Linked DNA regions of Lepisosteus oculatus. The protein of the gene in region 1 purifies or fractionates together with the protein of each later gene. This does not show direct contact. Links are inferred from orthologs where the notes say so. Each region holds a gene or a part of one and is shown on either strand. Other genes may lie near its edges. The genes, in order: mecp2, kpna3, ybx1 and gtpbp4.

Region 1 (7,224 bases):
ATTGGAACAGTTGGGGAATTTGTAACGAATACGCGTTGCCTTCATTTGCAGTCACAGGAAACCATGAGCTATTTCAGTATTAATGGGAGCTCACATGGTGGTCGTCTAGAATGATTAAAGTTTCAGCGTTTTCATTTTGAATCTAAAGTAAATCGTTAGAGTAAATGCGTCACACGGTACAGGCAAGGAAATCAGACCCCCATTGCTCAGTAACCAGATCCACCTCAGGCCCCTGCAGTATCAGGAACTTGTGCTCATCCCACACCACGCTTCCCCACTTGCTTTGAGCACATTACAAAAACCGAAGGACCGGACCACGTGCGCATGCTTTTCAAACTACAAACAGGAGGCACTTCTTTACACGAAGAGTGGTGGAGGTCTGGTGCAAGCTACCCAGCCATGATGCGGAAGCCACAATTTTCTTTTTCTAGCAGGGAACAGCGGGGTGAGATGCTGGGATCGGTTAGCTACTAAACTACTGAGCTGGCTTGACGAGCCCAGTGTTTCCTCTCGTTTGTAAAAAAAAAACTATTTTCTGCTCTGCTACAGAACCAGGACCTTTTATTCGCCCAGTACAAGATAGACAAGGAATTTCTCTGGGCGCAGGCGTCGACATCAGTTCCAATAAGATAAAAGAGTAACAAAAAAGCAATCCACAGGTAAAGACAGATTTCAGTGATGTAGACAATTTAAAAGTCTATGCAGTTGATTAATACAGTGTACAGTGAATGCTGTGTATATTTACAGAAAGTATCAGTAGCGTGTGTCGTTAAATGAAAGAGTCATGGCCGGGGGGAGACACCATGCAGCTGTCGGTTAGTCCTGGTTTTTAGGGGTCCCCAGTGGTCTCTGCGGAGAGGGAACACGCTGGAAGAGAGAGGGGCCGGGGTGTGAGGGGTCGTCCTGGACAAGTACACAGCTCCTCGGCAGCTCGCCGTGATCGTCTAGTGCTCAGCACTCTGTGTTGTGGCCTCAACGACCCCGGGTCGAATCCGGGCCACGGCAGGTGTGAACCTGGCACAGCAGAGGAGTTCTCTTCGGGGCCGAGCGGCGGCTCTGTGGCTGAGGATCTGTGGCTGGAAGGTTGCCGGTTCAAATCCCGCGGCTGGCACAGGAATCCTACTCCATTGGGCCCCTGAGCCAGGCCCTTCACCCCAACTGCTCCAGGGGTGCCGTATAAATGGCTGACCCTGCGCTCTGACCCCCAGCTTCTCTCCCTTGTCTGTGTGTCTCATGGAGAGCAAGCTGGGGTCTGTGAAAAGACAAATTCCTAATGCAAGAAATTGCATACGACCAATAAAGTGATCTTATCTTATCTTAACTGCTGTGCAACAGGACTCTGAGCTCTCTCCCTGTCGCAAGAACACGAGGATCACCGGAGAGGTGGAGAGTGACAGGAGAAACAGCCAAGCAGGAACTCTGACCCCTCTAGAGAAGACAGTCCACCTCCAACTGGCTACAGAGGGCCCAACCACACAGCCTGTCTCCCTCGCGGAGCCCAGCTTTGGTCCTGCAGAGCCACAGTCCGACTGGCTGCCCTTCAATCAGCAGCTTGGCAGAGGACCGGTGTGTGTCACCATCACCCTACCAAGCGTAGAGGGTCAGTTAGTTCAGGAATGGGCAGATTCCTTGGTCCAGACAAAGTGGAGTATTTTTAAAGGACACCCAGAAAACCGGCTGGACTGTGGCTCTCTGTCCCGGCCACAGAACAGGCAGATGAATTCAGGAGAGGAAACAGGTTTCAGCACTTCTCACATCTGAACTGTTGGCAGTTCTAAGGGCGTTAGCGTCAGAGCAGGCACTTTTATTCAAAATGACTCATTAACAACCATTCTTGTCTAGGCACAGTTACGGCAGTTACAGTTAAACTGCTACAGGAATATAAAAAAACAACACAAACGAAACATCACAGACGACATCGCTCAGGGTTGCAGAAACTGCTGCTTTAAGGGTGACCATGCTGGACACTTGCTGGACAGGCCCAGGGCTGGCTGTGCTTGCTCTCGTTGGGACAGCCGTTCTGCTGTGATTGGACCCGACTGGACCCGCGCTCAGCGTTGAAGCGTGAGACAGACCTCCCAGAAGCTGCAGAAGGAAACGAGGCCTCCGGCGCCGGAAAAGGGAGGGACCGTTGTGCACGAGGACAGGGTCTGGAATTTCACATCCCAAGACGGCAGGTGAGGCCCGGATCAGTCCGCTCTCAGGTTCAGCTGCCCGTGTGAACAGAACAAAGCCCACTGCGTCTTTCAGAGATCTGAGCGATGTCGCATCAGTGTGTCTGCAGTGGTGTCCAGTCCTGGTCCAGGAGGGTCGGTCAGTGTGTCTGCAGTGATGTCCAGTCCTGGTCCTGCAGGGTCGGTCAGTGTGTCTGTAGGTGTTCCAGGTCTCCTTAAAGCAGCAGCACCAGCAGACTGACCAGCCCTCCGGGGGAAGGGGAGGACCGGTCTGGTCTGGTCTGGTCCAGTCCGGTCCGACTGAATCAAACGTCGCCCCTCCTGCCTGCAGTGTAACAGCATGTCTCATCGCTCTCCTGCCTTGAATTCCTTAATTCCCAGTCCACCTGCGTCTCCTGCAGGAGAGCCTCAGTCTTGGAGCGGCTCGGTTTAGGGGTCTCTGGGGTCTGCCACAGGTCCCCAAAATTCCCCTCCCCCCCGCTCTCTGCCTCTGGACCATTAAGGGGGAACCATCCATACTGTGGAAAAACGAGTGATTAGACTCGACCCCCCAAAACACAGAAGGCAGAAAAGCACCAGTGTGTGCTAGCCCCATGGGAACAGCATAAAATACCGAGAGCCCTCCCTTGAAATACCCAAAGTATATCATGAGGAACCCTGTCTAACTTTAGAGTGACACTTTAGGATAACCTTGACCAATCATGGCCTCCTTATAACCCCCCTCTCTGGACTGGCTTCATCACTCTGCTCTCCTCCCCACTGAGAGCTGGTGTGTGGGGGGAGGACTGGAGCATCATCCAGGTGGGGCTGCACACTGGTGGGGGTGGAGGGGATCCCCATTACCTGTACAGCGCTTTGAGTGGAGTGTCCAGAAAAGCGCTATAGAAGTGTAAGGAATTGTTATTAATCATTATGGATTTCACGGCGCCGGTGGCATACAGTACCCTGCTCGGACACCTCAGGTGCATTTTCATTCGATTTTATTGGAATGAACCAGCGAGCAGCGGTGTTTGGGCTCAGAAGGATTCTCTGCATTCGTCTGCATCACAGTCGACGCAGATTTGCGGTGTTTTCTGTACGCTGACACTGAAGGCACAAGCGGCTGTAGTCCCCTCGGAAAACGACCCACGACTGATCTACAGGCTCCTGCCCCACACCTCGGGGCAGTTTCCCGGAGAGCCTGTGTCTCGCTGTCGAGCCGCTTTCGCAGGGAGACGTGGAAGCCAGCAGGTGCTTTTCCCCTTCCATCAAACACTATCTGGGAAAATAATGCGCTAAACTACTCTTTTATTTATTTTAAAGTGTTTTTGACCCATACCGTCGTACAAGTCAACAAGAAAGTAACCTGTTTTATTTTATTTATTTTACTATAGCTACTTTACTTGCGTTCAAATCTACGTATTCTATTGCACAAGACGAGCTTCATCGCCAGCACAGCGGCCAGACTACCGCTGGACCGTGGTGGAAGACGTGCACAGGCGCGGAACAACTACACCTGCGCGCCGCAAGAGTTTCAGGAAACACCCAGCCTGCAAGAGAGCACAGACCCAAAGTGAAACTGCTGCGGCTGACCCGTTTTCAGAGCTGCGACAGTTCATGCTGCTGCGTTAGAAACAGTTTTCGCGGAAACGCGGCAGGATTTCTTCTTTTTGCGTCGTCTCGTCGGGACGCCCCTCTTTGGCTGCTGAAGGGCAGGGCAGCGCTGTCCCGTCCCCCCCCACCCTGAATTAAAAATGCCAGTTGAGCTAACGAACGATGTAATTAAATAAAAACCTGGTCTTTTCCTCGCCACCTCTGACCCTCATTCATTCCGAAAGCCGCGGCGACCGGACACACGAGGCGGCTGAACCCTCTCTCTCGCGCGCGCGCTGCAGGAGCTCGCGGCGACTCCCTCGCGTCCTCCGCGTGCGGGCCGCCTGGGATGGGCGTTCACTTCTGGTTTTTTTTTTTTTAAACGCTAACGGCCACTCCGCCGACCTGCCGCCGGTAGTTTCGAGAGAGAAAAAACACACACCTCGTTTTAATTTTCCTTTTAATCGTCCCACGCCCCCCGCCGCCGCGACAATGAGCCTTGCCTCGGGTACCGGTCCAATACGCCTCGTTCACCTCGAGGTGGGAGTGAAAGGGTAAGTTTATCCGTCGTATTTTTTATTTTTTTCCTGGGCGCTTTGGTATACTTTTCGAAAGGAGGAATTGGCCGGAGTTTTCCCACGTTCGTATTTTCAGCGAATAAAAAATCCCCCCCCCAAAAAAAAAAGTTATTTTCGAGGTTTGAAACCTGCCAGGTATCACTGCGGTAGGCGAAACACTCAACTCTTTTAACGCGGAGACTCAACTGTTCACGGGCGAGCTTCAGTTTATCGCTGTAAATTCCTTTAAAATCGGGGGGAAAACCCCCACAAAGACATACAATTCTGAATCTCCGTTTCGCACTTAAAGATGCTCGGTAATCACTTTTGTACAGCAATACGTTTTTTTCCGCTTTCTTAGCTTTGCTAGCTATTCAGTTTCAGTTTGGCTGTAAGCAGTCCGTACCGCCTGGGTCGTTTAGGAGATGAATGCGCTCCGGTGTCGGGATACACATTTTTATTGGCAAAAATGCGTCGCCGTTCACAATAACGTTGTCATTGTTCTGTACATGTTCAGTATAAGTCTAATGAACGGATGTCTTCAAAACCGTTTATCTGCGTTACTCAGAAAGCATTTAACACCATCTCCCTAAGCTGAAACAGTTTCACATGATTTCAAAAAGGGAGTATCCTGTGAATAATTCAACTCCTTTACCTCCTATGTATAAACAGAAGAATGTGAATACATGTTAGGGTTTCCTGTTGAGGATTTCTTTAAAACTTAGTTTGCGCCATTTCTCAAGTTTTACAATTAGCTTTTAGATTCACCGCTGAAATATGGAGCGACATTGTTCACTCTAGGTGTATAAAGTTTTCCCGCGGTTGTAATTTTAAATCGTACAAGGAAACAAAATAATAAACCTGCTACCTTTTCCGATAGACCATGAGTACTCATTCAAAAACTCGGGAATAATGAACCAACGACTGAGCTGAGTAAAAGCCAATCAGTTCGGGTTTTAGTGGACTTTCAAACGAAGAAGCTGCGCTCCAGACACCGCTGATGTTTGGACGGATCCGTTTCTTCGACCAATCGGAGCTGACTGGCATTTTTTTTAACCTATCAGCGCCTAGATAAGGCAATTGAGTGATTTTCTGGCAAGCCAATGACATTCACCGTAGATGAGTGTCGTTTCTCGTAGCCAATCAACGGCAGGACTTGGTCGTTGGGGGCGGGCTACTCCGGGGATCCTTTTCAGCGAGAGATTTTTGACTTCGCAGTTGCCATAGAGTTCTCGCGGGAACTCCGGGCCCCAGCCTGTAGTTTCCTATGGGCTAGATGGTGTAATCTCGCGAGAGCTACACTCACCGATGGGAGGGTGATGTGGGGAGGGGGGGGCTTCCAAAAGATGTGTAGTGAATTTTTTTATTTATTTATTTAAATATAAAAAATGGCCGCCGCAGAGAGCGGAGAGGAGAGACTGTAAGTGTGAATTAAAAATATTTCTCCCTGTGTCTTTTTAGATAAACGAGAAAGCAGTGGAGTCGTACAATGTGCACTATACAATTCTCTGTTTTAAAGAATTGCATATCTTCTTTGCTCACGGAAGGCGGGGTAAATACCCCATTAAAGGGGAGTATTTTCACCCGCTTTTTCATCTCAGTGGGGTGAGAAAATCAGTATTTGCGCGATTAGTACAGGGAAGAGGTGTGTGTGTTTATATGTGGTTATTTTTTATGTGTCTGTGAACTCAGTCCTGCATTGTTACGAATATTATTTTGCTTTATTGGTGTAGATTTCTACTTAATGCATTATTTTCCTAACTGCATCCCCACCCCCTTTGTAAGTAGAATTTAAAACACAGCTTTCTGTCTGTTTGGCTCTGAAAAGAAGTACACGGGAAGGACCGTGTTTTGATTTTCCTTTCCGTGCTGGTAACACTTTGAATAAAGGGTATGGGTGAGCTACTGGGCAGCTTTTCTCTGCGTATCAGAAAGTCCTGTGTGATTCGGCACCCTCACACAATGCGTATAAATAATGAACTTTTTGGATTTGAAAATGACACGCGATTAAATATGAGTCAAGATTGGTATTTTTTAACATGCAGCTGGGTGGTGTTTGTGTCGATGTTGACCGTTTTATAGGCAAGAAAAATGAAAGTGTATTTTGATTCCTGAACGTGTGTTCGTTTATGTGTATGGAGTGTGTTTTTTTCCTCCCTTGAAAAAGACCAGACTGGTGCACACGAGTCGATTATTACGTACAGCACAGATTAGATATATTTTAAACATTTAGACGAATCTATTGTTACAGTTGTCGGCACTGAAAGTTTTGTTTTAACAAGCTGTGTTTCTTAGAATTGGAAAAAGACACCTCTAGCTTCTCAAATACACTGAACAGGCTTGTTGCGTCATTTGTTATGCTAGGGGAAAAAACACTGGAGGTTAACATCTTTCTGCTATTAGCATTTCCGTTTCAAATCCGTGCTGTGTGCGATACAAATCCACGCGTATTTTTGTGTTTTAACCAGAAAAATGAAACGGCAGTTTCTGTCCTTGGAGGGGCTTAGATGGGCTTGGAACGATCCATCTGTCTGAACTGTGCAGTGTGTGATTTAACATTTTGCCACGACCAAAAAAAAAAAACACACAAATGCCCTTGTTTTTAAACTGAGAAATTTCAACTCGAAACGTCTAGGGAATAATTTTATGCGACATATCGAAGTGTGGTTTTGCTGATTATTGCTAAGAAACGCGGATGTGAGAGGTTTTATTGTCAGGATGCGGGATAAATACACCGGTGTACTTAGCATTTCAGCTCGAGTGGCGCCGCACACAGCCGTCTTCAAAGTGCGTCATTGTGTAGAAAGACGGTCATATTTTTGGGAAATGTTTTGTAAGGGGTGGGGGAAAAAGACGTGTTTGTGAAATATTATTTTTTCATTTCATATCTAAGAATTGTTCTTTTTTTAATTCACAGCCCT
Region 2 (7,276 bases), on another chromosome or scaffold:
CGTACAGCACTTTGAGTTATTTGAAAAGAACTTAATGCATTATTAAAGGCTATATTGTTTCCATATACCATGAAATATCATATCATGAGACAAACAAAGCATGAACTCAAAAACAGCCCACTGTGCGTTCCAGTTAGAAAGTGTTAATAAATGCACTGCACGCAATCCTAGGACTCTTTATCAGGACTGGTACAGTGTATTAGAAATGACATCTCCACAAACTGCACATTCACACCGGCCATGTGATGGAAGTGTTCCTGTAGCAAAACAGAGCTGTGGGACCTGGTTTCTCAGCTCCTAGTTTTAGATACACCTTGTCTTTTCGTTTCTACTGCGGCTCCAGCCATAGTCACCTTCTTCGTACCCGAACTGACCAAACACCTTGCCCGATTAGCAGGTCTTCCATTTCCATCAGATGAGGCATTCAGGTAGCTCTACCGTTATTAAATTAACCTGAAACACATGACTGCGCCAGAGCGCAAACAATCCAAAGGATTCAAATGAGGCAAAATGAGCTCAATTTAAAAAAAAAACAGCTGCATAAAGTCATGAATGCATAGGTGGTCCCTGAAATCCATAAGAGAAAGACTGCTCAGTCAAAAAAAACAATTCTAAATAAAGATGAGATTCTACAACCATTGAAAAGATACACATAGACGGCATGTTAAAGTCAAGCTGTCACAGCTTCAGACTGAACAACTACACAGGTAACTACAGTTGCTACAATAGGCAAGTTCAGAGCCTGATGTGGCAACAAATGACAAACAAGAGCTGGTCAGAAAAGACTGCACAGTGCCATGGTCATCCAACAACCCTTTAAACGACAGATGTGGGTCAGCCTGTAATCATCTTGGTCTAAAGAAACAGCAGTCCAACCTAAAATTAGGGGCATGTCCTAAAATTGAGATGAGGTTGTATGTTTCCCAAGAGGGCTGTTCTTGTGTGTATGCTGTGATGAACAGGACACAGAGCCTACATATCTCAGGAGATCAGAGGTGTCCACGCGAAATAGTTGTGCAAACAATGCCATTATAAAGCAATCGCGCTAGTCTCCCACGAAAAACGCTCAGCATTAGCAAAACCTTGGAGATCTTAAGTGGATTTACCTCATTTTCCAAGTATTGCAACACTTATCAAACCAGGCTAAGAATCGTTAGCGCAGTGAATGAATAATCCCCGTTTGTTCCTTCTCTGCTTGCCGATTTGTAACACCAATAAAGTAAAACGAAACCGCAAAAGCTTCAATGTACGAACTTCAAGGCAGAACAGCTAAACGCAAAACGCACTTTGAAACAACAGGCACCCGCACTAGCACCTTAGACGATTTTTTGAATTTTAAATTTCATTCAGCACGCCAGTGAGACGTCTGCAATCATATCTCCCAGTCCCTTAATTATCAGCACCAACCGCTATGCCTCTTTCTAACGAACTGTGTCCTTACATCTTCTCCCACTGTGCCGCACATATTGCTTAGATCTCCTCCCAAAACAGCGCAGGTAAAAAAAAAAAGTGAAAACGCACCTGAGTTACAGCGACTGATGTATTCATTTACCGTCATATGCATGCCAGGCCCTTAAAAACTAGTTGTGTGCCCTAACCTAATCAAACCACGGACGGAAGCAATCCTGCATACAACACAGCAACAGAGCTACAAAACCCCATGACTTCGGGGCCGGCTTTTACCGCAGTAGCACAATCCCTCACGGGCTGCACACAGGTTGCGTTTCAAATGTTACAGGGCCCATCGTGATCTCAACAATGACAATCCATCACATTCACTCTGCATGTCGCCGGCGACCGGCCGCCTGAGGAGCCGGCTGGGTCAGGCGCCGTCTCTGTCCCTGCAGCCGAGTCAAGGGCTTACGGCCTGCTCGGTTTTCTACATCTGGGCAGGGAAAGGCGTGCTACAGCCGCCCCTTTCAAATGCGGAAAAGTGCGCCGTTTGGCCAGTCCGGCTCTTGGCTACGCTCTCCTTTCTAGTCTCGTTTTTCCCCCCCTCTTTGCTTTTTTTTTTCTCCAAATCAGGGAAGATTTGAGAGGGGAGGGAAAAGGCTAGGACAGAACCCCATTTTTCGTAGACCGTTTTGTCAGGAACACCATTACCAAGAGCAGAGCAAAAAGAAAAAAAAAAAGAGGCTCAACTGAGTGTGATGCTAACTAGATTTTTTTTCCCCCCACAGCAATTAAAAAGGCCCCGAATAAAACCAAAAGAAGAAAAGCACAGGTTAATCGCTTTATTATTATTTTTTTCACTAGGGAAAAGCATAAGACGGTGGAGGAACGATTAAAACGCGGTTTAATGGCACAGAGAAGGCCTTTCCTTTAGGCCGCGCCCGCACTGCATGATGATGGTGGTGGTGGCGGCGGCGGCGGTGGGGGTTGTTCCGGAATAAACGCTCCTCTTACCCCCAACAGCAACAGCAGCAGCAGCAGCAGCATCCAGCAAAAAAAAAAAAACCCACAGCCGGTCGCAAGGCCCGGAGGGCACAGCCGCTCACCGCCCGCGCCCCCACCCCGGTTCAGCCCGGACCGGACCGGCCCGGCCGGGCCCGCCGCGGCGCCGCCGCCACCACCACCACCATGCCGCCATCCCCTGGGCTCCCCCCTTACCTCGACATCGCGTCCCTTGTTTTTAAAGCTCTTGATGCGGTGGTTCTCCAAGCCGGCGTTTTCTGCCATGGCTCTGTGTGTGCTCGGTGCGAGTGCGGTCCGGCGCTCGGAGCTCCAGTGAGAGAGAGAGAGAGGGGGTGAGACAGTCCGCTGTGCAGCGGAGAGGGGGGCGGCCAGACGTAACGGAAGGCGGCGGGGCAGGAGGGCCGGGAAGGAGGAGCCACGCTCGGCAGCTGGAGAAAGCCGGAGAGAGGCCCCGGCGCTGCGAGCGAGCTGTTGGTTGGGGTGCGATTGCACAATGGATGTGCGCATCGACAAATATAAACACAGCGAGGGCCTTCAGCTAGCCCGCGTCTCTAGCCGGCGGATTACATCGGCTGTTGGCTAGATCGCTCCCGAGTTTTCTCCCCCAGCAAACGGGGTTTTGAGGTCGTTATTCCAGCCTACTTGTAGACTTGCGTCAGTGTATTTCACGTTATAAAGAGTGCGCATGCCTTACGTAAGTTAGAAACATGGACAGTTCCGATAAATACACAAGAATACCGTTGTGGTGCATAGATTCTTTACATACATGTTGGTGTTCCCTCTACAGGAAGTTAACAGTCGAGCTGTGTCGTCTTTAACGGAGTTCAATTGCACCGTATATATCAAAGATTAATTGTGTCTTTAAAGCATCACATCTGGTGCGTTGAATCCATGGAAACATGCATATTAATTCAGACAGCACAATACGGAATAGTAAAGCAACTAAGTACACAACATGGGGCGTTAAATTTCACAATTTATAGAGCTAGATTTAAGCAAATATGTCAAATTATGGACGTCTTTTGTTAAATATTAAACTGAATTCAAGTTCAGAATTCCTCAACAGACGGAAACGTTTTAAATGCGCCTACATTTCATACAGAAAAAGCAGATGTTACAAACCTAAAAATACTGTTCCCAGATTATTTTTAGTGTCTTGAGGTGGGAAAATGTGCTTCAGCAGAGTAAAAGATAGCACAAGAAATACACCCTAGTATTTTGGACGAGCATACTGTACCTATCAAAATTGAGATATTCGCTTAAAGGATTATTTTCTGGAGAAGATATGTAATGTTTTCAAATCAACACCCATTTTCCAAAAAAAAAAATCAAACGAATAGCTTTGTCAATCTAAAATCATTTAAAAATGCAATTTCAACTAGAACACGCAACGGACGAACTTCTTTCGGTTCACAATACGTATGATTTTCAGGGTTCTCATACTGTCTGAGCACATGGAGAATTTAAAGGTGTGATGTAAACATTTCAGCCTACACACTATATAACTATACTGAAAGGTATATACTAGTTCTTGATTTGTATAAAAGAAGCGAAATGTGCGATTGTCATTCCAGGATATGCCTGTATTAAAATTATTCCTGCACTAGGATACCGGATCCTACTATCAAACGCGTCTTCTTGTTCGCCTACAATTCCCGTGCACATTATGCTAATGTTGAAACGAGACTTGTTTTTTTTTAAAAATAACTGCTCACACCTAAACCGGCCTGACTATATTATTTGAAACCGGGATACAAGAGATTGCTTGAGCAAATGTTTTCTTACGGCAACACGTGCCCAGAACACGCGCAACTGAGGCGCGTCCCCGATGAAGTGGAGCCCAAGGTCGCGCCCAGCCCGCCCCTCCCTCACGAGGGATGGGTGACAAAAGATACGCGATGTGCGCTCCCTAGAGGCTGGGATGTACACTCTACCAGATAATGGAGAGTTACAGGGAGGCAAAAAACTATCGATTCTATTTCCCCTCCCGCTCCTTTCATCACCTTCCCTCTGCAAGTAACTTCAGTTAGCTAGTGCAAGAAAAAAAAATCTTGGTCATCTGTGCATATTTAATGTAGGAAATATAAAATGCATTAGAAAACAAGAGTTGAGATGTCTTTAATCTTCATTTAATTGCAGCTTGTGGGCAGGGCCACCTGGAATATTGTGATAATCTTCATGCATACCAGAGAGGATAAAACCTAAGCAAACCCTGTAGATCTTGAGAAATATGCTCAGAAACCCGAGAGCTTTCATATTTAAAGGCCAGTAAACCAACTTGCTATTTATATTGGCAACCAGCGAAATACTTGCATACTGAAGTGAGATCTAAAACCAAACACCAATGATCTTCAAAACTGAGAAACTCCTTAGTCCAGGTGCAAATTTTTTATTTTAGTGTAGACTTACAACAAAACCCATTTGGATTTTTAATACTCAACACATCAAGTTTCATTAGTGCAAACAAAACATTGTTTTGAAACATTTAAAACGGATGTCAGCAACGAAAAAGGAAAAAATTGTCTCCATAATGGGGGAAAAAGAACGGTTTAAAATGTGCTCATTATTGAAAAAGACCTCCCTGAATTTCGGCAGCCAAAACTAATGAGACCTATTTTAGCGAAGTTGTCGGCGTCCAGGATTCATTTTGGATTTTATTTTTTCCGTCACAAAACAAGGTTTGAGAGGGGGAGAAAAAAAGAGATATTGGGGGGTTTATGTGAAAGGAAAATCAACAGTGAAAAGTTCTATAGCGTTTTACAACATACATTTTATATTCATCAGACGGCTTTATGCAGTGAGCTAATCGGTGAAACGACAACTCATTATCAGTATACTGCATTTGTGAACCATCTCCCAATATGTGGAACTAGAAATGTTTCATTAATGATGTCAAATTCAAGTTAAACACCTCAAGAAGTGAGGCAATGTGGACATGTAGAATGTAGATTACAACAAAAAGCAAAATAATTTCAACACCAATAGACAGTACTGTATCACAGGCTTCATAACTATGGCTTCAACAGTTACTAGTGACACGATACCATCTTATACACCTGAATTCAGTAACCAATGTGCAGAAATTATTCCCAACATGGTGCAAGAGAGAAAGTTTCATTCCTACATCAAAGGGGCTCAGTCAAGACTGCTGACAATATAAACCTAGTGTTTTTCACTGCTACTACTAGAAATCTGCACTGCTTTTTACACGGGACTTGAAGAGCAGGGCCGACACTATCAGTGCAGTTTTCTTTCTTTTAAATATAGCAACAAAGCCTGGTCCACACTGAGACGTTGGAGTACTTTAACACCTAGGGTCTTCCAGTTGATCTCCAGACTGCGCACTGGGAAGAACAAGGCTGGAACATAAAGCTTTCACAGGAGAACTCCATACAAACCGGACAATGATACAAGTCACAGAGCTTCAGAGAAACACACAGACAGAGAGCTTTGGAAGAGTGCAGGTGCGTTCACGAGAGGCAGTGTTTTTTTTTTTTTTAGAAGATCTGCTGCTCGAACAGGATCTTCTCAAACCCTTGGGGTGGCGTGTGGTAGAAGTCGCTGAACTGGCAATCCAGTATGGCACTGTCATCCACTGGAAACACACAGGAGAAAAGGTCATGAAGACAGAGGACTAAGGTGACTCTCTTCTGTCATCCAGGCTGAAACTTAAGCAGCTCCGCTAAAGACAACACCCAGAAGCCACTGGCTAAAACTTAATCATAGAGAAGAACTGGGTGCAGCAAATGGCAAGGAAACTGCACCTTCCCATTAGACCCAGGACCTGTCAGAAATAATATTACAGTTACAGAAGCACTGTTAATTGGAGACCACGCTTCATCTTACAGTGATACTAGCTTAAATTGTGATTACAGTTCTAAACATGCTGAAGTGACGAACAAACACCGAAAGTAACAACTCTTACAAATGACAATGTTCCCCCCCCTACAGCCATTATCTCAGAATGCGCTGAGTCTAGTCAGTACTGGGATGGGAGACTTTTAAGGAAAATAGCATGGCTGCAGGCCAGTAGGGGGCACTCTTCCCCATTGTGAATCCAATGCTTGGAAGCCAGGGCACTGTGGTGTATCAGGCGCCGGCCTTAGGAGGAGATGTTACACTCAGGTCCTGATTACTCTGCCATTCCTGTGTGAGAGTAGGAGTGTTTCCCTAGTGTCCTGGCTGGGCCCACCTACCATCATCCCTCCATTTCCTAACTGCTTCTTAAAATTCTGGGTCGGAGTCGGAGTCTGCTCCAGCAAGTTACAGGGAGCAAGGCGGCATCCACCCTGGACAGGACGTTAACCAGGCCATAGGAGGGCAAACAGATACAAAGACAGACACACTCACATCTAAGGCCAATTTTCCCAGAAGCCAAGCAAGGATAAAATAATCCATAACAAATGGCAGTATGAACTTAGTTCATAAACTACAGTTCTGAAGTTCTCCATTAGCCAAAGATTTCTTTACTATAGTGCGTACACATTATTTCCAAGCTAATTATTTCAGCAGACAACTTGTGTTGGCCTATATCTCCCCAGTTAATGCAAAGCTCAATTGATTATGCACAGCTCCTTTCTGTAATGTAATGAGTGAGTACCTGTTTGTCAAGGGTGGGTTTGATACTGTCAGGTCTCTAGTGTAATCAACAGTCAATGCAGGTAAACAAAGAACACACCAAAAGCAGAAATACCTTACACTGTTTAAAACATTACCTTGTGTTCTGTGGTAGTCACAACTCACAAAAGTCACAAACGAATTTGCCTGGAGCCCGATGGACTTGTTCGTGAAGGGGAAATGCCTAAGCTTGGGTTTGACCAAATCTTAACCACTAATCCAAGGGGACAGGGCATCAAACAGT
Region 3 (7,180 bases), on another chromosome or scaffold:
CCCACACACCTGCTATCAGTGGGGAGGAGTTCAGAGATGGGGATTATTAGGAGGCCATGAAAGGTAAAGGCCAATGGGAAATGTGGAAGTCCACATATATTGTATTGTATAAAGTGGTTATAAAATCTAACAATTCTAGCTGAGGCTCTGTTGCCAATTCTAATTGGTTTTATATGTGCTGGTGAGCAGTGGAGTCTTGGAGCAAATGTGAATAGGGCGTAATGAGAGTGTTGTTTGATAGGGACGGCCTGCGGCTTGCTTCTCACATTGCATTCCCCAGCATCCGATCCTGATGGCTTTAATGCACTTATTGCCAAGCATTCCATTACAAGCCAATAACGATCATGCACCAGCACAGCCAAGCCACCCCGAAACATCATAACAGCCTCCTCTGGAAGGCTGTGGCTTGGTTAGATTAGGCCAAAGGTTTTAGCAGTATTTTACAAGGTAACCACACAACGGGAGGGTGCAGATTATATCAGACATCCAAACACTTCAGACTTGAACATTGTGGCGATGTTCTCGGGAGGCTTTGAGGATTTTTTGCTGCACATTCTAAAGATGGCGGAATGGTACAAACTCCCAGACATGAACACTGTTGCACTAACACCCTGTAGTGGTTGTAATGACCCCAGAAATAACATTTGGACAATAGCTCCTGAAGCCTATGAGCTTGCATTGCCACGTGGTTTTTGTGCCAAATGTTTGGAAGCTGTGATTACCAAGTCCTGACTAAGACCCAAACTTGTGCACGTGCAACATTCACTAATTTCTTTTGCAATCTGTTCGTTTCAGCAAATAAAAAAGTAATTGTGCATTCAAATGTGGAGAAATATATCATGTTTAAATTTGAATCCTCCCGAGACTGCGTTCACTTCTTTTCACTTGGCGATTCAGTGAAACGTGCCAGTTGACCAGGGGTGCCCAAACCTTTGATCACAACTGTGCACGAGTGTTTAAATTGGTGTGCTCGTCTTTGAGTTCTAAAAACCCAGCACTTAACGTGAACAGATGTGCTTCACTGAACCCTATCAACGCCCCCCAGTACCTGATTTCCTCTGCAGGACAGATGGAATTACACTTTCTTCCAAAGAAGGAGGTAAATGCAATAAGTTTTATACAGCAGATTCACACAGGAAAGCTCACTCTAAGTTTCCATATTAGGAGATGTTTTTTCTCTCTACAAACAAAAACAGAAGGTGTGAAACTGAGCTAGACGCTTTGCGGTTGTAATATTAAAGTCAAAAGGTCAAATAATATGCTTGAATTATCCTTTTATACTGTTGCTAAGCACAAAGCATATGAGCTAATACAAATAGTCACTATTTTATATACTTAATAAAAAGGCAAATGCTCAAATTCTTCCTCAATGGTTTGGTTGCTTGAAGTGACCAGAAAGCCTTGATTGTGAATACTAGAAAAACAGAATAAATTGTCTTCGGTCTCGAACAGGATGAATATCCTTCCCCAGTCACAACTCCTAATGAGTCTATTAAGCAACCTAGTGTACATCCTATGATGCGCTGGGAATATACACAGAAGCTACTCTGTCTTGGAAGGCACATGTTGACCGCAAGTTGACTTTCTTCACAGGTTATGGGCTGTTGGTACCAGTAGTCAGGTTTTGTCAATGCATTTTCAGTTCTGTGGTACAGAATGTCATGCAGTGTGGAATAGCTCTCTAGTATAACAGATGTTCTCTGTGCAACAAGTAAGTTAAGATGTCCAAACTCTGAAGATGTGTTCTAAGATAGTGGGCAGGTACTTGAGCAGAGCTTATAAAACTGCATGCATTAACAGTGCGCTGTTAGTATCTCCCTCTGTGTTCTGCAGGAAGAAAATCTACTGATGCCTTCCTGCAGTCGTTTTAAAGTCCCCCGATGCAGATCTTAGAAAGATGAGGAATTCCTTTATCCTACACCCAATCAAACCACTAAGTAAATTAGTTCACAGTGATTTCTGTAGAGTACTGGTTTATGGGCAAGTGCAATTAGTGGTTTTGTGCAGTTCTAGGGTTTTGGAATGATTGGTGAAATGCAGATGGGATTCCTGTAGGAGAGGTGTCTGATGAATTTGTACAGGTCCCCATTACCTGTAAAGCACTTTGAGTAGAGTGTCCAGAAAAGCTTTATATAAGTCCACAGCTCCAGGCTTTCCTGATCTTTGATAGAAGGCATTTGCACATGGTACAGTATGTTACTGCAGCAGTCAGGGAGAAGAGCTTTACTCTAGGGTACAACAGCAGTGTCTTGTCTGGGATGGAAAATCACCACCTTCTGTTTACAAGTCAACAACCACTGCTCCATACTGCTGTCCCAAACCTGTATTTCTGAGAATGTCCTGTTACCTGTTATTTCATAGATCCCAGTGGATAAATCAGTTGAAAAATTAATAATTGAAATGGTATCCTGATATCTCTGGATAACATTCTGAGGGGACAGACCCTGCTCCTAGTTATTCCTCATAAGGACACTGGTCTTAATTTTATCAGTGTCCTTAAAGGCTCCCAGCACAGTGTCCTGATATCATTCTTCTGTGGTCAGAAGAGTTTGTGTGACAGGGTTTGTGATTGAATCAGACGTCAGTGGAGGGTTTTCTGAAGGTCTCCTACAGGGCACCGTAGAGGCCTAGATAACTGTGACAATCCCACAGAATATAATTAACAGTAATTAACTTAACTGCTGGATCGGTTTACTGCATTATGCTAACAGACAAGCAATTTAATATGGGGTTTAGGATTTTCCTGGTGTCCTTCTGACATTTAAAAAAACCCACTCTGGTTTTGTGGAAGTCTTTTTGTGGTGAGGACCAGCTCAAAGCACTTTACAAACAACAAAAATGGAGACATTTAAGGCCTTATAATGCATCAATATATAAGAAAAATGGGGCCTAAATAAAAAGAAAAAACCTATATACAAGTTTAAATTATCTTCATTCAACAAAATGTACTTCAAGATCCTGACTCTTGAGATATGTAATCGTAACTGTTTTTAAAAGTGCTAATGTTCACAATAACGGATTCTCATTACTTTATATAATGTTCTTTTTTTTTAGTTATGAAGAATATCGTATTGTATGCAAAAATAATTATAATATCAATGCTTAGAATTAAAGGCAGCTACGGGATTCATTTTTTGATATACAGTATCTAATCAATGAATCTACTCAACTCATTCAATTTTAATTTTAATTCCAGACAGGGATGAGTCGCAATAAGACTGATTCGGATGGGAGAAGTTTATAATCTAGGGTCTTGCCTTTTAGGGGTTATAATTGCCCATTGCACCAAGACAGTATTGAACGAAGTATGGAAAATGTTTTTACTTGTTTAAAGGCGAAATTTAAAAGAATAGAACTAGGATTAATTTACACTGCGGTACACAGTTAAACAGATTTTCAGATTCTTAATCTAATGTAAACGAATAAACTACGAATAAAACGAATGAACTTGTTTTTGAGGGCTTTAAGGTCTAGGGTACTGATTACAGGCAATCCTGACCTACATCTGTAAACTTCACGCTAATGTTTGCATCAGTAGTTCGAGAGCAGTTTAACCCTCTCCGTGCATGTTGATCAGATGTCTGGTCCGATGTTCCTTGTACTGTCAAACACTGACAATGTTACAGGCGCAGGGCAATGCGTAAATATTCCTATCACGAAAGATAAAGTGGGCGTGATTTATATTAACTGTAACATTTTGCCAATCCCTAGCATCGTGGGCGGCATCCTTGACATTATCTGCCCAACCAGCGCCACTGATTCACAATCTACTCCGGAGAAAAGGGGAGTGTTTGATTGGATTGAGCGCGGCCCCTTCTAAAAACTATGCAGTTGAGTGACACTTCGGTCTTCCAATCAGAGCTAGAAATGCGTACAGCTGGGTTAGATTGACGCGTTGTTGTCCAATCACAACCAAGCACTCGCAGAATACCGAGTAGGCGGGTTTTTATGCCGCTCTGTGGAGTCGCAATCCAATTCACCGCCGCGGAGGTTTTGGTGAAACGGACGGCGCCGCGCACCAATAGGAGCGACGGAAAAGAGCACCGGCCCAAGACGGACAGGGGTTCTGACCAATAGAATCAGAGAATGGGCGGTCGCGCCTCTGACAATATTGTCAGGTATCGGCTCGCTTTCCGTCCAGTTCGATCGGCAACGGGAGCGGAGAAAGGAACGCTGAGAGCCCGAAGGCAGCAGCCCCACCACCGCCGGCCCAGGTTACCATCACGCACCGGGAAAACACGCTAGAGAGCCACCGCCGGCACAAGTGTAACGTAACCCACCGAAACCACCATGAGCAACGAGGCCGAAACACAGCAGCAGCCGCAGCAGCCCGCCGCCGCGGAGAGCCCGTCCAGCCCGGCAGCCGCAGCTACCGCGGGGGATAAGAAGGTCATCGGTGAGCCCCCCGGTCTCTCGTATTTTTTTCTTTTCCCGTGTTGTTACGTGATTTGAACTGGGGACGCGACGCCGAGGTTGAGGGTTGGAGAGGTGACTTTTTTTCTCCGGCGTGCGGTGTGTCGGGCTCCGGGGTTTCTTTGTGTGAGAAAAGTCGGTTGAGCGTTGATGGTTGAGGGGGGGGCGGGGGGGCGAAAAAAAATAATTTGGAAAAAATAACGAGCGGGCGGCCTCGAGCGGGTCCGGGGCAGCAACGGTTCTCGTCCCGTCGCCGTGGTGACGGGAGCGGGCTGCGCTCTCGAGCCCCGGCGCGTGCGGGGAGCCCGGCGGAGCGGAGCCGGTGGGTGGGATCGGGCCGGAAGCGCCGGGGTGGGTTTGTGGATTCCGCTGGTGGGTTTGGGATAGTGATCGGAAAGACACCCCCCCCCCCTTACTCACAAACACACACTACTTGCCCACGCATCCCAATTCCTCCCCTCCTGGGGGTGGGGGTTTCTAGGTGTGGGTTTGGACTGGGCCGGGCCCAGGGGACACATGGCGATCCGGCCGCCTTGCAGGGTCTGTGCGTGTGGGGGAGAAGGGGGGAGCGACGCAGGCGAACTTGGCCTTGCTCTTCACCTCCCCGGGGCAGCCGGGGCGATACTGGCCGCCCGCCTCCCGTAAGTGGGTCAGGTCGCGTTCTCCCGCGGGCCCTTCCGCACGGAGCCCGCCGGGGCCGGCCTGCAGTCCCCGGCCCGCGGGTAACGCGAGTGCCGGGCTGCGGGAGGGCCGGTGTGAAGACTCCCCCTTCCTCACTGCTCCTCCACACACACACACACCCTTTGTTCATTACAGTGCGGTGTAGTAACTTGAGCGTCGTGTACGGGCCGAGGGTGTGCAGCCGCTTCATAAATCGGCAAAGCCGTCTTTCCCGACGAAAATGCCGCTTGACGGCTTACAAAAGAGGCGTCGCGTTCCCCCCCTCCTCGGATTATACTAGCGGCTGTGTGGAAACTTGGCGAGGGGGGAAAAAATCCAAAATGTCCGCCGCGGTGTTTGGATACGAGAGGGATTTCTTTTGTCTGAGGGAGGCGATGTTTTTTTTTTCCTGGCGTGTGGGTGCTGGGGAGGCGGGCGGCGTGACCAGGAGGACCGGACTGCGGCCGATCCCCGTTCCCCGTAGTTTAGGGTGGGGGGGGGGCGATTAATCGGCGGCCCTGCCGTGGAAATCGCCGTCGGTTTGGCGCGGATTGTGGGCGTCCGTCCAGCCACATGGTAGCGCGTCGGGCTGGGAAATATGGAAGTTTCGCGCTGTAACAGGCGGAGACCAGTACAATCGTAATCCCCTGCGCGTCCGTTGTACTGGGAATAATGGAAGTTTGACTGGCGATGGACGGCCGCTTGAATGATTGATTTATCGATACTGTATTTAGTTTCGCGTCCGTGTGGGGAGAGTGCAGGAGACCACGTGTGAAGCATTCTGACACTTCCTTATATCGTTACAGTGAATCATTCTTGTTACAGGAAAGAGCCGAGGTTACGATTGGTTCTTTGTAGCAGCAGACTGTTGAAGCATGGCCGGGCCACGTCGTATACCCCTGTATAGCCAGTAGAAGTTCTTTCGCCCGAAATTATGTTCTGATCCAATCAGCGGGGTTGGTGAATGTATTTTGGACACGAGTTCATCATACTGCTGAAGTAGTTAGTTTTGCAATGGACAGCTAGGCTTTGCATCATAATCTATAAAAAGCTTGTCACCATGTGGTTAAATATAGTGTCCAGATAGTTTTACAAGCCCTACCCCACTCAATAGTCGCAGCACTCCATGCTCCTAGTTCTGAGTTTCTCTGAATTCGGCCAATTAACCAGACAATAGCTGTAGGTCCCGGTTCTGAGCGTTAGGTCCTCATTTTATGTTTCCACTTTTCCTAGTAAACCTTTTCTCCTAGTGCTTACATGGTCAGATTTTAATGAGAGTGATGTTACAGTAAAGTCCAAGGAGTGACTAGAATATAGTTCATAAGTTGTTAAATACGGAAAGCAAATCGGTTCCAATTTTAAGGACTACATTTTTTTTTTAGACAAAACCTCTGCTGTTCATTATTACTGTATATACTTAAAGCAGATTTTTAAGTGACACATGATTTGAATAATGCTTAAAGTTACAGAGGTGTGGAGAGAATTTAAATATTTAACCTGTTTTTTGTCAAAAGAGACTCTAAGAGCCTCTGGGCTGAAGTGTGATATAGAGCTGTAGTTTTGCAGAGATGTGTAAATGACAGGAACGTGACAAGCAAGGGTGTACTGCCTACAGTTAGACTCCTGTGTGTAGAGAGAGAATGATGGTAAAGCATCAGTGCATGGTGAAATTAAGGCTCTACAATTACATTTTACTGTAGAATACGTTAAATACAAAAGAACCCATCAGAGTGAAAGTCTGCTATGAGACATTATAATGTGGTTTTCTTTGTTTTCTGATAATTCTGGTGTCTGGAATTTGTAAGTTAATAATTGCCTGACTGCTCTCTGGGTATATGAAGATGTAAGACTTGTTTGTTTTCCAGCAACAAAGGTGTTGGGAACAGTGAAGTGGTTTAACGTGAGGAACGGCTACGGTTTCATCAACAGGTAATTTAAGCTCTCTCGCCTTGTTTAGGACATGGATGTGACCTGTGGGTCTGATATCGTGCTCAATCCTATTAGCCAGGTTATTTGCTTGTACAGCTGTAGATTTATTAGTCAGTGTCCTGCTCCTGTTTACTTGCTGGGGTTTAGCAAACCATAAGCCTGTTAATTTAGATTGGCT
Region 4 (7,401 bases), on another chromosome or scaffold:
TTAATTTTGGTCTCCTTAGAGACCAAAATGAGAGATGAGATCAAATAGACTCAAAAACTCCTTCCTGGTAGCAACCTTTCTCCTGAGATTGCAAACCTGAAACAAGTTACCTCTGAAACATGTGGTCTTGCATACTTTGTCTTTTTCTTGTGCCATGTTGATAAGTCCTTATGACACATACGGTAGGCACAGACTCCAAGCTGTAAGCTGTTGAGACTGTTAAGGTTATATTCTCCCTCCGTTTCGTGGGTAAATGTAATTGATTATAGTGTAACCTTCTCATATTTCTGGCCTTTCCTGTCTGCAATCATGACGTTCTAAATTAAAAAATGAGCACAGCATGCATAATTTATACTAAGCACAGAACCCTGCCATATTATTCTTCAATTATTGTCCACATGACTTCCTTGCCAGAGGTTTAAGTACTGTCTACATCAGGTCTAACCTAATGCACAAACCTGAGCTCATGAGCTACCTTAGTGTCCATTTCCAGTCTGTCTGATGTTGTGTAGCAGAGTCTGTGTTTGAACATCACTACATAAAGACCTTGTGGTACATTATTTTAGTCAAATACTGGACTGGAAGGGATTGAGGTCCCATTAGATTGGCAGCTAGATAATGTGCCAAGATTCTCAGTTGTCAGTGGGAGGTGTTTATCATCCCTAACTATCTGGTGTGTGTACATGTGGGGGAGGAACTAGTCTGAATATTGTTACCGTAGTGAGTAATATTTCTGTTGGTGCTGGAATTATATTTTGGTAAAAACTAGACTGAACAGTTTAGGTTCCATGTGAGCAGGATTGGATTCAATTGTTTTAGCGGGTTTGTTTTTAGAGGTTCTGTCCTGTGTGAAACGCTGGCTGTCTGTGTGAAACAAAAGAGTGTGGCGCCCTAATTAGACCAGTTCTGTGAGCACTTGGCCACAGTGCGTGTGTTCCAGGGCTGTGACTGAAGAGTGAGAGAGAGAGTCTCCTTCAGCTCACGGGCTTCAGAATTTCCCGGGGTGTTTTAGGTTTGGGGAGAAATCCAGACTTCTGCTTCAGGCTACTCTGAAGCAAAATCTTGGCAACACATTTTGCTGCACGTGAAAGTATAAAATCCACTTACATGTACAGTGAGTCAAAACAAGGCTGCAATAGGTTAAATGGGTTTTGCTTCCCATGTAGGCATTTAGGATGGTAAACACTGAAAAGCTAGATCATCTGATCAGTTTTGAGTCAGGCCACTGAAGATGGGGGAGGGAGATACCAAGGCAATAATTTTGCACTGTTTTTTAGATGAGGTTGTAGAGCAAATGTCAGTCAGACAGCCTGTCTCTGTTCCCTCCTACAGATGTATTAATGTGAAGCCTGGATTTTCAGACAGTGGTCTGTCTGAACCTAGGGTGTGTCTTCTGACGCACTTACTCTCAACCCTGAGATAGTGGTGTGTATTTTTGTTTTGAAAACAACATCAACAACCACAACAACAACAATAATAATAATAATAATAATAATAATAATAATAATAATAATAATAATAATAATAATATATGTGGCCTCATAATTTTAAAATACTTTAAGAGAAGTCAAATTGATAAGGACTTTCATAAACTGAAAGGGATTGATGCCTAAACTGAACACTAAGACACTCTTAATTATAGTTCAATGCAGTATAATGGATTGAAGATTTAATGTGTGAAGGAAGCAGAGGTTTGTTGAATTAATAAATGATGTACATACATTTTTTAAAAGAGAACTTTTTTTAATCAATTCTTCTGTGCTCAAACACAATTTTAGGGATGAAAGTAAAATGTCAGCAAAAAGTGGGAGTATAAATCCAAATCTAGATCTTTAAGAAATGCTTGCACCTTTGGCAGCAGTTAGAGATGTAAGTCTTTTTGAATAGGCCTGTGCCAATTTTGCATACTGGGAACTGAACTTAAAGGAATGTTCCACACTGACAAGCTAAAATAAATGAACCTTTTTACACTTAAAAGAGGATGGAGAGCTGACTCAACATTCAAATACTGTGTGGGTATTCCAATGTGTGTTAAAATTTTGTAATTGTCAGAATTTCTCTGATTGTATTGTAAAATACTCACTTTTGCAGGACCATCTGCACCAGACCCTGGACTGGTACATACAGCCAAATTCCCACATATGTATGCGACAGATGTTGTTTATGATTTATTCATTTTATTACATGTGTACTATCTTTATGTCAAGGATGCTCATTTTTAATGTGGCAGGGTTCTTTTCTTTGCAATAAACGCAGCACGGCGGATTTGTTTCATAAATTGTTTTCCCTTTAATATTATGTATTTCTACAGAAATTGTAACACACACGCAGTTGTTTGCTCAACCTTTAAATGGGCAAGTCAGATCTTCACACTTTGTGGAATGTAAGGGCATGACCGTTCAACAGTAATCTTAACTCAGTGACTGATGAAGTCGGTCCCTTCCTATGTGTAAAGCGGTATGGAATCTTCCATAAAAGCTCAATGTAAATGCAAGTACAAAATTATTTACTAATCTTTTCAGGGTAGTCCTGGCCTGGGCTGAAGTTTAGGGATTTCACCTGCAAAGCCGCAAAGTCACTGTCGAACCCCTGGAGGCCAAAGATGACCTGGTGGCAGCTGGCTTTATTTGGCCACCTTTACTGACTGATCTTCAGACAAAGTGAAAATGTCTGGTCAGTTTTACCCTTAATATTCTGTTCTGCACCTGAGTCACAGCTGTAGTTCATCCAGCTCACGGAGATGACACTCAGAACAGGACGGAGAGAAAGATGGATTGTGAGAGACCCAAGCACATCTACAGCAGCAGAAAGCACTGAACAAATTGTTTTAGTTAGCACACACTGCCCCACCCCCATGACCTAGATTGGACAGCTCTGTGGTAGGCTGTTCAGTGAGTGCTGAGATTCTGTCCAAAACAATCCAGTGTTTCTGACAAACAGGGTCATGGAGTGACCCACAACGCCTCACAACATCACACTTCCACTGGATATGCTTAAACTGGCCCAAACTGGCCAACCGTTCTATTCTACATCAGTTGCCAAGTCATCAAATCAGAGTCTCATATACTTTACAGGCATGGTAAAGTCTGGGAACTTAACCAAGAACCAGGCATAACAGTATTGTAACGCATACAGCCTCCATTGACTGTGAGAGCTGGCTTACCATTGCAGTGACGTCACTGCCCTTCCCTGTGAATAGCAGGGACCACAGCCGCCGGGCTGATGGGAGATTTCCCTTTGGCTCAAGAGGCTGGGTCCCCATTGAGTGATGCCGGAGGCCTGGGTTTGAGTCCCTGACGGTTGGGGGCCGACCTGATGCGGCAGCGGCGAGGGTGTCCATGTGAACCCCTGAGCGTTACAGTATGTTAGGTTGAAGGTCATTTGTGTCAACGCTAGGTGAGTCAATCTGGCATTCTTCAATGTCCAACGTTCTCATTTGCCAGTCCCTGTCTGCTCAATTCCACTTTTGCCCTGCACAATCTGGTCTGCTGCTCTCCCTTAATTAAGTGAAGTAATTTCTCACTTCCCTTCCAGAACTGCCATGCAGTGGGGCTGCTGGCATGTTGAAGTTTGCCATGGGAACATTATGTCTCCCTTGCTCTTGAATCCTGGAGCTTCCTGTTGTCTAAACTCTCCCAAATAAAATTGGTCTTGTTACCCTCCATGATCTCTTACTGTGTGGGCCGTGATTCTATTTTATACCCTCTCCCTAGACCTTTAACAAGATTCTCAGGCATCATTGTCAGCAAGTCTGCATTGCATCCTTTCCTGGTTAGTACATCTACATGTCCAGTCAAAATAAATAGTATGTACCTCAGACAATACTGAAACATAGCTAATAGAGAAAAAAATAGCCTTATTGATTTTCAAAAATGAAATTGATCTTTAAGAACAGAATTTAACACTGCAAAAGAAAGTTCTCCAGAAATGTGTGAAATCATCTCTCACTGACACATTTGCTATGTAAACGTTTAGAAAACCTGAAAAGCTAAATTCAAATGCTGAAATGCTGTTGTCTCTTTTAACGTCATCAGTTTAATTGTGGCTGTTTATAAAAATATCTGTAAAACAATCCCTTCACCAACGAGACACATCCCTTTGAAAGAATAATTTTATTTTTTGAACAGTCTGTCAGGATGCCTTGCAGTCAAAGATGTCAAGATGGACCGTCACATAGACAGTATTCAGCCTTACTTTTGATATTTTCATGAGCATACTCTGAAGATTAAAAAAATACCTTAAGAAAAAGATATTTTATTTTGTTGATAAAACCCACAGACTGCTAATGCTGCAAATATAAATCTCGACTAGAGATGGCAGTGTGGAGAAACAGTTGCCTGCATTTTCGTTGAAGGACACCCTCTTGCTCAGGCAGAGTTGTTGACATCACTGGGCGAGTCTTCCGGGTAGCCTCACGCGGCATCCTCTGGAGGAGAAGTGTGCTTCGCGGTGTGGAAAGATGGCTCTCTACAACTTTAAGAAGATTATGGTGGTTCCCACCGCAAAGGTAGTTAACGGACCTGTTTCATACAGCATCATTCTGATTTGGATAAGTCTAGCGGTAGTGCTGTAGGTTAGCAGGCGGTCTGAAAAAGAGAAATCAATCTGTTTAACACGATCGGGCTCAGTGGTCTCAGCCTGTGAGCAAGGACACGTGTCTCCTGAAAGTATTTAAACAGCGCAAGATGAGGAGCCGATATCGATACCGAATTAATCGATACCGAATAACTGCTTCAGAATGTTATGTTTAACCACCTTTCTTGGTTTGACAAGTTATTTTTATGTACATGGCGATGATAAAGTTATTGTTGAGATTGACAAGCGTAAATGTGGGGTTCGCGGACGAGTATCGCCTTGTGAACATTTTGATTTTACGATTAAATGCTTATTCTTGTGTGTTTTTTTTGTTGCACGGTGTCTAATGTATGGGTGATATTTGCCTTGTACTGGACCAATGTCTGACCATTTTTCTCTTTTTTGGGGGGTAAAATCGGAGCAAGCAGAGTAACGCTAATCACTAAATCTTTTCCTTAGGACTTCATAGATATCACATTGTCAAAAACACAAAGGAAGACTCCTACAGTTATCCATAAGCACTATCAGATCCATCGTATTCGTCATTTTTACATGAGAAAAGTGAAATTCACCCAGCAGAACTACCATGACAGACTCTCCCAGATCCTGACTGATTTTCCCAAACTGGATGTAAGTCTTATTTCTATACATTCAATAACTAATGGTGTTAGTTATGTTTTTTTAAGTGCTAAACATGTCTAACATGAATGTACGACTTATTTTGTTTTCACTTGATTTAAAGTTTTAAACTGCTTTTTGCCTTAAATTGAAGGATTACATAAGGAGAAATTTAAGTACGTTTATGCATATAATCTAACATAATGATATAACACATTATCTTGACTGCAATTGCATTGAAATGCTTTTAACTGTTGTCTTTCTTGGCTTTAGGATATCCATCCTTTTTATGCCGACTTGATGAATGTTTTGTACGACAAAGATCATTACAAGCTGGCTTTGGGACAGATTAACATAGCTAAGAATCTCATTGACAAGTAAGAAACCATGTACTTTGATTAGGAATCTTCTTAAGGCTGTTGATAGTACTTTTTGTGGCAGTGGGATATTTAGTTCAGATCTTGGGTCCTCTGTATGATTCCACTTTCTGTGGAAAAACATAAAATATTAATAGATTTAAAATGAAGAAAATCTTATTTTCTATCTTAGTTTCTTCACAATCCTGCAGGTGTGTGTCTAACATGCTAACCTGGATGTTCGTTTTTGTATAATATTAAACAGCATATTTTCCTCTTTGAGAATTACATTCATTCCGAAAAGTTATTATTTTAAGACATAGTGTTGCAGCATGAGTTTATCTTTCTGGCTTTTATTTCTGTCTTGCTTCCAACATCAGTTTCTCTTTTTATTAACATCTGTGCATCAGGACAATAGGTGAATTTTGATATTAAGACTCTAATGTTTGTTTTTTTATGATATGTTGTCTTCCTTATTTGGGGACCTTTATTCAGCATACATTTTTATACATTAAAAGATAAACTGATATTTAGAAATGTATAAAAACTCACATATATGTATCGAGAAAACAATTATATCAGTTTCTGTTGTTTGTCTTAGTGTTGCCAAAGACTATGTCCGTCTTATGAAGTATGGGGATTCTCTTTATCGCTGCAAGCAGCTTAAACGGGCTGCTCTTGGACGAATGTGTACTATCTTGAAGCGACAGAAACAAAGCTTGGAATACTTGGAGCAAGGTAAAGCTTTTCAGATTATCCATCAAATTATCCAGCACAGTTAGAATTGAGTGACAGAGTCATTATGTGCCAGTTTTGATTCCACTTGCCCAAAGAAATGGCCTGGCCTTTTATTTTTGGTATTTCCACACTTTACTTTCTATGAACCTTTAAAATTATTTCTGCGTTTTCAGTTACAGATCTAATGCTTCTCAGGTACACTGGTTTCGAAGGTTGTGTACAAAGAAATGTATTATCAAAATGCAAAGTTGTGTGCAGCATGATGAGGCATCAGCAGCTGTGACTGTTTATAACAAAATCACCTAATGACAGAAAAGCTCTGTCTAAAATCTACTGGGGAGTATTGTTGGCGCCTTTGTATGAAACATAGTTGTGCTGTCGTGTGCTAAAAGTGAAATATTAATATTGCTAGAAATAATAGAGCATATTGTATTTAACGATTCATTAGTTTTACATCTTCAGGGCTTTTAAATTGGTTCAAGCAATCCTTTTTTCCTGAACACCACAATTAGATTTATAATTATATTGTGCTCATGCGTGTTTCTGAACGTAATTTGTCTTTCAGTGCGTCAGCATCTTTCCCGTTTACCAACCATTGATCCGAACACCAGGACTCTTTTACTCTGTGGATATCCAAATGTTGGGAAGTCGAGCTTCATTAACAAGGTGAATATTGTAGACATTTGCTTCTTTCATTTAGAGACATGAGTGCCACGTCTGCCTTAATTAGTAAATTAATTGAAATGCATGGTCTTGTTCTATTGCTTCAATTCTTAAAGCTTCAGACATCTATTTTCTTTTAATATTTTAAGAGTTTTTAGTATACAATGTGCTGCACATCTTTGAACCATTATATTTCACTATATTACTAACATCACAGAATTCTCAAAACACAGTTTTCCAAGTGTGATTGAGAACTGTGTCATAGTAGCTTGTGTGGAACATTCACTTCACTTCAGTTACATCAGAGACCCTACATCTCTGTATATTCTGAAATCCCAGCTAAACACTTAGTAAAATGTTTGGTAAATGTCTTAAGTAGAGTTTGTCTACAGACATGTAACTCAATATATTTTGCCTGCGTGCCATAAGTATTAAAAAGTAAAAAAAAATG

What was found.
Region 2: the proteins of mecp2 (region 1) and kpna3 purify together in Homo sapiens (affinity purification with mass spectrometry; 3 studies listed by BioGRID and IntAct, counting the BioPlex papers as one, with this or other methods). This does not show direct contact. The link is inferred for Lepisosteus oculatus from reciprocal best matches to the Homo sapiens genes MECP2 and KPNA3.
Region 3: the proteins of mecp2 (region 1) and ybx1 purify together in Homo sapiens (affinity purification with western blotting; 3 studies listed by BioGRID, with this or other methods). This does not show direct contact. The link is inferred for Lepisosteus oculatus from reciprocal best matches to the Homo sapiens genes MECP2 and YBX1.
Region 4: the proteins of mecp2 (region 1) and gtpbp4 purify together in Homo sapiens (affinity purification with mass spectrometry; 3 studies listed by BioGRID and IntAct, counting the BioPlex papers as one, with this or other methods). This does not show direct contact. The link is inferred for Lepisosteus oculatus from reciprocal best matches to the Homo sapiens genes MECP2 and GTPBP4.

The regions. Positions count from the first base shown.
Region 1 is NC_090697.1:75,512,626-75,519,849, reverse strand, and holds the start of mecp2 (methyl-CpG-binding protein 2), read left to right. Parts: upstream 1-4,216; 5' UTR 4,217-4,238; coding exon 4,239-4,300; intron 4,301-5,691; coding exon of another isoform or gene 5,692-5,723; intron 5,724-7,224. UniProt on the Homo sapiens protein: Chromosomal protein that binds to methylated DNA. It can bind specifically to a single methyl-CpG pair. It is not influenced by sequences flanking the methyl-CpGs.
Region 2 is NC_090710.1:26,351,045-26,358,320, forward strand, and holds the start of kpna3 (importin subunit alpha-4), read right to left. Parts: upstream 3,012-7,276; 5' UTR 2,923-3,011; coding exon 2,611-2,922; intron 1-2,610. Other genes in the region: spryd7a (SPRY domain-containing protein 7), read right to left, coding at 5,913-6,010. UniProt on the Homo sapiens protein: Functions in nuclear protein import as an adapter protein for nuclear receptor KPNB1. Binds specifically and directly to substrates containing either a simple or bipartite NLS motif.
Region 3 is NC_090720.1:9,798,820-9,805,999, reverse strand, and holds the start of ybx1 (Y-box-binding protein 1), read left to right. Parts: upstream 1-4,166; 5' UTR 4,167-4,290; coding exon 4,291-4,396; intron 4,397-6,938; coding exon 6,939-7,002; intron 7,003-7,180. UniProt on the Homo sapiens protein: DNA- and RNA-binding protein involved in various processes, such as translational repression, RNA stabilization, mRNA splicing, DNA repair and transcription regulation.
Region 4 is NC_090701.1:13,527,669-13,535,069, forward strand, and holds the start of gtpbp4 (GTP-binding protein 4), read left to right. Parts: upstream 1-4,397; 5' UTR 4,398-4,459; coding exon 4,460-4,507; intron 4,508-5,034; coding exon 5,035-5,205; intron 5,206-5,466; coding exon 5,467-5,570; intron 5,571-6,150; coding exon 6,151-6,287; intron 6,288-6,852; coding exon 6,853-6,953; intron 6,954-7,401. UniProt on the Homo sapiens protein: Involved in the biogenesis of the 60S ribosomal subunit. Acts as a TP53 repressor, preventing TP53 stabilization and cell cycle arrest.